2 linked regions of the Daphnia pulex genome follow. The protein of the gene in region 1 binds, or shares a complex with, the protein of each later gene. Links are inferred from orthologs where the notes say so. Each region holds a gene or a part of one and is shown on either strand. Other genes may lie near its edges.

Region 1 (4,419 bases):
CCACCACGTACGACTCGCCTCTTACTATAATCGTTTCTGAAACAGGGTGGCTTTTGAATGGGGCGGCAGTAGCATCACTAGGTCTAGGTGAACGGAAAAAGGTGTCAACATTTGCTTGGATATCCGGTGTTATTTCGGCCTGCCTCCAGCGTTCACTGTCCAAGACAGCACCCAATTTAGAACGACGTTCTTCGTGGAATTTTTGAACGAAACGCGTAGCTTGACCCTTTGGAACAAACAAACAAAACGTGTTGTTATTCAGCATTACAAACACGAAATTTTATTATTACCTGAAATGCTAATCTCAAACCCATGGATTTGTGTCCACTTATATTGTGACAATCCAACACGAAAGTCTCTATAAGTTTTGCCAGAGCCACAAATTCCTGGGAAGAAACCCTTTCTAATAAAGCACCATCTTTGGTACGCGATGATAAAAGACGTCCGCACTGATCATGTGCAGAATCACAAAGTGACTGTATCATTTCTTTTAATGACTGCTGTAGTCTCTGTCTATCATCTTCAGTTACCACAACCTGCAATATCAAAAATGATTCAGTCATTTGTTTAAATGATGTCCGAAAAGAAAAATACCTCTTCTTGACGGCTTGTTTCCGTGGCAAGTACAAGGGCCATGATGTCATGAATGGCACGAATGCGGTTGAGCAGAGCTTTCAAACTTGTCATACATCGCTGCATCAAATTGGTCCATGACACAAAGTTTAAATGCTTGAGCTGCTCGTAGAGCATAGAACCTCTTTCAACGTCGGTGTCGTTGGCTGCAAGAGCTTCTACAATAGTTTGTTTCATCAAGGCTTTCATGGCGGTCAATCCTTCATCTAAAATGGAAAAATGATTATCAGTCACATCGGCACTAGCAAAAAGTGCATCAAGCAGTACCTTTAAATAATTCAATGAAGTTATAACGCCTCTGTCGTAACATGCCGTAGAGAACAGCAGTCAATCTATCTTCTTCTGTAACTAATACATCTTCTTTGAGGGGTCGATTAAGTTCGGCGGTAGTGAGGCGTTCAAACTCGTTTGAAAGCAAATTTTCGATAAGATTCTCCATTTCTTTCAACTGCGAGCTCAGATAACGGAAACAGTGAATGCTCATCAGTTCTTGTTGTACGACCTCTTGTGTGGTCCCAATAAGATCCAACGCGCCGACGAAATCAGAAGTAGAGAGGAGAAGCTGTATAGTCGGCTGGGTTTGATGCACAGTCGCCATTAGTTTTAGTTTACGATAAACAATTGCATAATTCTGTCGAGCAACTTGCCGTTGTAATACTGAGAGGAATTAAAGAAAAATGGAATAAATTCAATAATTAGATTAATGATATTGAACACACCTTTCAACGACCCCTGAACATGCGTAGCATCAACATGATTGACTTTGAGTCTTAAGGCTTTAACCGCCGTCAGCGCTTTGCCTAATTCCTCCCGTACGGCATCATGCGAAGCAACAGCCTGGAAGAAGTCTTCCGATTTATGGGAAATTTGATGAGCTATTTGCATCTCTATCAAGTCCAAATAATAGCTCAGTTTTTCTTGGAGTGTTTTCCCCGTTCCCAAAACGTGCGATAATCCTGACTCTTTGATGAAGGGGAAAACTTTGTGAAAGGTATCTGGTTGGCTTAGGTTAAATGTAGGCTGCAAGAAAGTTTGTGGAATAACACTCAAGTCACCCTCATTTCCATCTGTTCAAAACAAAAAGTTTGGTTAAAATATTTCTTCAAATAAAAGGATTTACTGAATTAATTGGATTACCAATGGGTTTCAGTGTTGATCTTGTTGTAATTTGTTCAGTTGCTAATGTTACACTGGACTTTTTCGAAGACTTTTTGTATCTTTTGGAAATTTTCTTAAGGTATGGTGTGAAATAAGCTTCATCAACAATGGGTAGTAGGAGACTTTCAGGAATAGTAGTGTTTTCTACAAATCCATCCCCCCATGTTCTAGTAAAGAAATCCTTCTGTTTCCCTTTTTTTGGATCATTTAAAATTGCTGCCATGTTTTGGCAAGCTGCATTGACATTCCAAGCTGGCCCATCTGACAGCAAGCTTAATCTATAGAGATGCCCTTGAAGCGGAGAAGGTGTCATCCCACACAAAATGCCTGTGTAGCACATAACAGTTTATTAAATTGTTATCACATTTATAATGCAGAAAATGTACCTGCATCTTTTCCATCCTGTGTTTTAGCATGGTGTTTCATTACATGGTCTTCGTAGTCTCTATCGCTCACCCCTTCAACTGGTAATGATGTACATACTCCATTATAGCCATACCGACAAACAAATGAGCCACCTTCCTGACTACAATGATCATCTCTCAAGTGTCTAAGATTTATTACAAAACAAGGTTAGAAATAAAAGTACTTAATTATAACTTGCTGAAATGAATTGTATTGTACCTTGTAAATTCTGCTGATGTTTTGAATATTTTGTTAAGACAATAACTACAACTTCTCCATGTTGGTGAATTACTCCCACTCGATAATAAGCTTATAGAGTCGGTGTTTGTTTTTGAAACGGCCATAACAGATTGAGTGCTGAAGAAAGTACACGGAAGTGAAACTTGATCAATCGATTTACTTCAATCAAAACGTAAACCACCGGCATTTGTGAACCATAATTAATTTAATCTCCTTGAAGAATTCAACAGAAATTTCTCTTAAGAAATAAGGGAAACCTATTTAACAATAAAAAATAACCTTTTTGATCGTTTAATATTTTTCTGTCGTCAGCATTTGCCAACAGGCCAAGGTTGATGCTAACCGACATCCAAACCTTCGCTGTCTATTCGAGTGTTTCCGGGCACCGAGTCCACCATTAGCAATAAAATCAATCAGAATAGTGTGAAACTTTTATGAAAATGTTTCGTGTTTATTATATATGATAATCGTCTGGATATACAAGAGGTTGCAGCATGAAAATTCAATGAAAAACGTTAACTTGACTCATGATAGAATCAAGGGCGGAAAAGCATTTTTTCCTCCGAATTACAGTCAAACAAATTAATAAAAAAAAGGGCTTGCACAACGGCGCATAAAACGTGAGAGAATAGTTATAAAAAACTATTGCAGTCCGAAAGGAATCAGGATACAGATGTTCTGTGTCAAAACTAGTAAAACCGTCGCATGGTGAAATTTACAACTGACAAAATTGCGAGTTTTCTTCAACGGCACAGCTAATTGGCAAGTTCTTCAGTTCTTAAAAGAAAAAGAAACATTAAAAAAGCGAACAAGATTTTAAAGAATAATAATTTAAAAAAAAACCCGAAGAGATGATCTTTTTAAATTCAACCAAGTCACCTGATATTGCATGCAGCATCAATTTTCGTGGGCGGTATGCGGTTACTCCGATGCTTTTCAGATCATCATCAGACAGTGTAGTGAACATGGCCAGATCCACCTCATTTGCAAGAAATAGTTCTAATTTTAAAGCAATTTAATAGGACATATGATATTTGAGATTTTAAAATTTTTCGATTGTTCATCATAATATTCCAACTAACCACAATATTCGAATAGATCTGATTCTTTCAGCATCTGGCATAGTTGGCGATATGAGTTTTTGTCAAATTTTAAAGTGCAGGCCGGCATCTTCACACTTTCGTCTGTGAAGTAAACAACACACGTGAAAACCAAATGAGATAAAAAAAAATTTCAAATTATTAAGAAATAGTCTCGAAGATGACCCACTAGATGGTAGCAAAGGTTTTGAGTGTGCTCTTTGACCGCCCGATTGGTAAACCTCTTCAGTGGTTTCACGGAAGCGAGGTTGTTGTATAACAGTTCGACTCCCAACTGCTGGAACTTCAAAGGATCAAGTCGAAGGATAGAATTTTTCCACCTCATTATTAGTTAGACCCTAAAATACTTAAAAATGTAAACTCCTTACGAAAAGTACGTTCGGGTTCTTGAACTCTGGGTAAGCTGAGCGGGAATCCGATGGGGGATAGTCCGTTGGGATTGGGAAGACGTAGGATTTGTCTCCGGAATTCATAAATGTTGCCTGTAGACCAACAGTCACAAACTAAATGATGGGAGACTGGGCTAACGGTTGTGTAGCATACATACCTGCATTCTTTTCGTAACTGATGATCTGAAGCAGAAAGCTGCTCGGTTTGGTGCTCGGTTCCATCTTGACCGCCACGTCCAAACGTTTAGCCAACTTTCGCTCGTTGACACCAAAGGTCAAATGAATAGCATGGACATGAAACATCAGCTTCATAGGAAGAAATTCCTAAACAGGAAAAAAACAACATGTAAATCCATAATAATCATGCGGGTAAATAAAAGTGATTTACCATCAGGGCCATTTTAGTTTGATAGACACCATCCACAGAGCCTATCGAATTTTTAAATTTGATTCATAAAAATTGGTTAATAAAACAGTGATTGGATTACCTCTTA
Region 2 (4,292 bases), on another chromosome or scaffold:
TTGAAATTCGGAAACAGATTTAAGATTTCTTTATTAATCTCGTCCAAAGATTTCTTCCATCCAGCCATGAAAGCGTTTATGGTTTGCGTGGCCCGACCTTTAAGCCGATTAAAGAGAAACGGAACAATTCTATATATCGAGAGACAAAACTAATAATAAAATTAAAGACTTTAAAAAATGCATACGTTCTTCGTTCCGCAACGCTTCGTTAAGCCCTCGAGTAAGCATGACTTCGCAGTCTTTGACGAATCGGACGAGTCCCTCAAAATGGAAAAAAAGAATTTCTTCGACAAATTCTGAAATTCTAGCAGACAGCAATTCCTTACACCGAGCGGCTTCACGACTTTCTTCTCGGTTGCGCTCCTTAATAAATAGACAACAAGTTTTAATACATAAGCTGAGAAACTCGGTAAAATACTAAAATCTAGTTATATTACGGTCATCACACTCAGCATCAGGTCGTAGTTGTTGATTAGGGCTACTAATTGATCCTTTCGTTTAGTAAAGGCTGCAGCAAGGCGCAACGTGAAGCCTTCAACCTCCTCTTGCATGGTCGAAAGTAAATGGTGTAGGCGTGGAGTCCAGTCCATGGCTGAAGTTATACTGTTATGCTCTTTTTATACAAAATAAAGAAAATTACGACACAAGAATTAATGCAATAGGAAAAAAAGTGTTTAACCGTGAATCGCAGAAATGGCTGAAGTATACTCGGCGTATCGTCGCACTACCTATTAATGTTTTTTCGTTAGTTTAGAAATTTAATCAAAGTATGTTTAAGGTAAATACATAGTGTGGTCGCGTATCAATGTTTGAATAAAGTCTAGATGGATCGCAGTCACGGACACTCTGAATGTTTGCTTGTACCAAATATTCAAATCTAAGAAATATGGCAAATATTAAAGAAAAAAGTCAACAAATCATTTAAATTTAACAGTATTACCTAGGCCATAACGTGGAGACGAGAGATTCGTAATAAAAATCTAAAGCTGGAACGGCTCTCTTGTGGCAAAGATATTGCAAACGTTGGACCATTTGGATGCAAAGAAAAAGGGCAAGTGAGTCATAACAAGACGAAACATATTCTTCCACAAATTTCTAAAAAGAAAAAAAAAACAAATGACGCTAGAAAGGAATAATATGCTGCGCATTGTGTATAGTAAACTTACCATATAAATAGTGCAGGTCTTCCCCATTACTTCTTGAAATAGCTCCATGGCAGGGGCTCTTTCAACGTGGAAAAATTCACAGAGGAACAAATACTCGCGGCAAGCATTATCGGCCAATGCGTAGTGTTGAGATCGGAAAACGATTTCATACGAATATTTCGTTTCACCTTTATGGCCAGCGCTGGTACCAGTGGCAGCTGCGTGAGGAACTAGAACAGGGGCTTCTAAGTTTGTAACAACTTCAATTCGAGTTCCTATTATTTTAAAAAAAGAAGACAGCAAAAAATAAGCAAATATATTGCAAGAAAGAATTTTTGGGGTTACCTAAGGTAAAAACCGTAGATTTACTGCTAGAACTACGCCCACTAGGAGCGGCTCTTCCAAACAAGGACCTTGCGGCGGCAGCAGCAGCCGCACCTAACGATGCATCTTCGGAAGCAAGAACATCATCTTTATTAACACTATTTGAATCCACAAGTTTCAGTAATCGCGTGGAGTAGCTCTAGAACAAGAAACAATTGAGAATATAGACGAAAAAATCATAATTTATATCCAAACAAATTATTATTATTTCTTAAATCAAAACACGAACCTTAAAATAAGAGAAATATAGCTTTGACATTGTCTGCACATAGTCTTGCCTCACTTCATAAGCTATTTCAGGCTCTTGGGTTATGAGAAAGTGGTAAAAATTCCTAGTGAAACAAAACATAAATGTGAATTGTATTTGGAATCCAGAAAGAAAACCCAGAGGCTTACTTGTGTTTTAGAAGAGAATTCTGTGGTAGTTGATAATTAGCAAGTGGCCTTCTAAGTTGTTGTAGTTTCAAAAGCAGAAACTGCCTAAGTCTTTCAACCACCTTAATCCTTAATGCACCTAGGACAGGAACCACATCCTTAAAATGCATAAAATATTAGGTAGAAAATATTAGACATTTTTTTTAAATCACAAACTCAAACTATATGGTTAGGCCTACTCACTTGAGCAGCTCTACTGCACCTCTGATGGTGATCACCACTCAAAGCCAACTTTGCTTGAAGTATTATCAACTGTTCAGAGAACGAAGGCTCTGTCACTGGAGTTTCAAGTAGATGTCTATTCAAGAATGTTAAATTTTTAAAAATTACAACACATAGACAAATAGATGTACTTTGTAATTTTACCTTATCAGGGCTTCAGGAATTACCAAATCATCAATTATTTGTCCTGCCAAGGATCTAGCTGCCTGTCGATTAGACAAACGTAATCCCAACTGAGCTGATTGGTGCTGGAGTTGTAAAATATCACTGCTTAAACCACCTAGTTGAGATCTGAAGGTACTTAGAAGCACTTCCATTCTTTCAAGAGCGACATCACATTGGGTGAACTGTGAATGAAGCTGTGCTAATGATGTTCCCTGATTGACATAATCTTGCACAGACACTAGTTCAACCTGGAAAGAGGAAGTTGGTTAGCTGAACTCATAACATGTCAAAAATGTATACCTCTTGTAATTGTTGTTCTACTTGTTGTGAATACTGTCTCAAATCTACACCCGAATTCAGAGCTTCTTTTATTATGCTGTCCTTGAGACTAACTTTTAAATCCATTTTTATCTGAGAGTCGCAATGATCTTCCATGGCTGTTAAATGTTTTTAATCAGCTTTAACGGCTTTAACCGAAATCTGACACAAACTTGTTATTGCGGCTTGTCTGGAATCGTGACGAAATCTCTCAGCTGTTTGCAGACGACCAATATCGTCTGCTTGTTGTCAAAGAGATTGTGCAAGAGTAAGATGCAAAAATTGTGAATATCTCCCAGAGATTAGGGTTTCCATTAAAGTTATCTTTCTCATTTGAAAATATTAGCGTCAGCCGAATATCCCTGAATTTCGAAACTTTTATTTTTTTTACTCAAATTTGAAGCAACGATTGAAGTCTAGATAGTACGGCTATTTTTTGCACGACAAGAGTGAGAATCTTTGCTCATTGCATGCTTCCAAGAAAGTAAAACATTTTGTGGAAGAGTTTTCGTCAACTGTTAATCAGGTTGTAATCTGACGAGTGTTGAGATTTATTATGACTTTCAAACCTCTGACAAAGGTTTTAACTCAATATTTTTAGCACTGGTCAGTAACCAGTTTATAAGGGTTCCAACAGAGGGAAAGCAATAACTGACATTTGTATACTGATCTGCCAATTTGCATTTATTCCTACATTTTCTTAATTACATTGATGATAAGTTCTATACATAATCTGCCCATACAAGAAATTAATCATGGCAAAGTCAATTGGTAAAAACTCCACACCACAGAGACCCAATCGTAGTAAAACTTTTGAAAATTATTGGGACCAAAAGGATGTTGAAGAAGGATTACGGAATGAGTCCCTTTTTGAAGTAGGTTTTGGTTATATTCAGAATTAATTGATGTAATGTTTTAACTGTCTGTGTTTGTTGTATTTATAGGGTGTTTTAAGAATCAATCCTAAAAACTATAAAGAGGCATACATTTCTGCACCTGTAAGTATTGCTTGCAAATTTGTTTTCACAAGTTTTGATATTCAAAAGAACTAACTGAACAAATCTCAATGGTATTAGGATGGAACCGAAGATTTTCTGATTGAAGGAATTTTGCACAGAAACAGAGCACTTAATGGAGATATTGTTGTTTGTGAGATGCTGCCAACACAAACTGCAAACAAAGAATGTGAAAAAAGTTTTGCTGAGAGTCCGAGTTCACCAAACATTCAGCAAAACGAACAGCCTATTACTCCAAAAAATTTGGCTGCAGCCAGTGAACTCAAAGAAAATATTTCAAAAGTGACTGAAAAGGAAGTTCAGTGTGTGGATGCAGATTTAGCCGCTTCACGTGAAGTTAGGGGCGCGAAAACCCTGGGACCAAAAAATAGGAAAAAGCCGAAGAAATTGATGGAAAATGTTTCAAATTTAAATCTTGGTGCAGAATTGCAAGACAAAAGCGGTCTAAAAACCCCTTCAACAATGGCCGAAAATGTAACTAACGTAAATACTTTATTTTTTTTTATGTACTTGAAGATAATAACTTAGAAACTCATTGCTTTCTTTAGTTGGATAATCCTGCGGAAGAGCAGAGAAAAAGAACTCGCAGGCCAAGAAAGAAGAAAAA

Evidence for each region.
Region 2: vacuolar protein sorting-associated protein 54-like (region 1) and vacuolar protein sorting-associated protein 52 homolog share a complex: the UniProt entries of both Caenorhabditis elegans proteins name them as parts of the golgi-associated retrograde protein (GARP) complex. The link is inferred for Daphnia pulex from reciprocal best matches to the Caenorhabditis elegans genes vps-54 and vps-52.

Annotation. Positions count from the first base shown.
Region 1 is NC_060017.1:2,978,019-2,982,437, forward strand, and holds the start of vacuolar protein sorting-associated protein 54-like, read right to left. Parts: upstream 2,822-4,419; 5' UTR 2,716-2,821; exon of another isoform or gene 2,650-2,715; 5' UTR 2,541-2,649; coding exon 2,416-2,540; intron 2,342-2,415; coding exon 2,178-2,341; intron 2,119-2,177; coding exon 1,771-2,118; intron 1,701-1,770; coding exon 1,353-1,700; intron 1,291-1,352; coding exon 901-1,290; intron 840-900; coding exon 595-839; intron 537-594; coding exon 291-536; intron 227-290; coding exon 1-226. Other genes in the region: protein bicaudal C-like, read right to left, coding at 3,152-3,213, 3,316-3,435, 3,519-3,620, 3,706-3,819, 3,905-4,018, 4,084-4,249, 4,314-4,354, 4,414-4,419. UniProt on the Caenorhabditis elegans protein: Acts as a component of the GARP complex that is involved in retrograde transport from early and late endosomes to the trans-Golgi network (TGN). The GARP complex facilitates tethering as well as SNARE complex assembly at the Golgi.
Region 2 is NC_060027.1:4,799,327-4,803,618, reverse strand, and holds the start of vacuolar protein sorting-associated protein 52 homolog, read right to left. Parts: upstream 2,803-4,292; 5' UTR 2,787-2,802; coding exon 2,652-2,786; intron 2,600-2,651; coding exon 2,331-2,599; intron 2,263-2,330; coding exon 2,148-2,262; intron 2,063-2,147; coding exon 1,926-2,062; intron 1,862-1,925; coding exon 1,759-1,861; intron 1,669-1,758; coding exon 1,491-1,668; intron 1,421-1,490; coding exon 1,167-1,420; intron 1,096-1,166; coding exon 941-1,095; intron 878-940; coding exon 787-877; intron 729-786; coding exon 680-728; intron 614-679; coding exon 438-613; intron 364-437; coding exon 186-363; intron 98-185; coding exon 1-97. Other genes in the region: DIS3-like exonuclease 2, read left to right, coding at 3,425-3,544, 3,614-3,667, 3,746-4,168, 4,234-4,292. UniProt on the Caenorhabditis elegans protein: Acts as a component of the GARP complex that is involved in retrograde transport from early and late endosomes to the trans-Golgi network (TGN). The GARP complex facilitates tethering as well as SNARE complex assembly at the Golgi.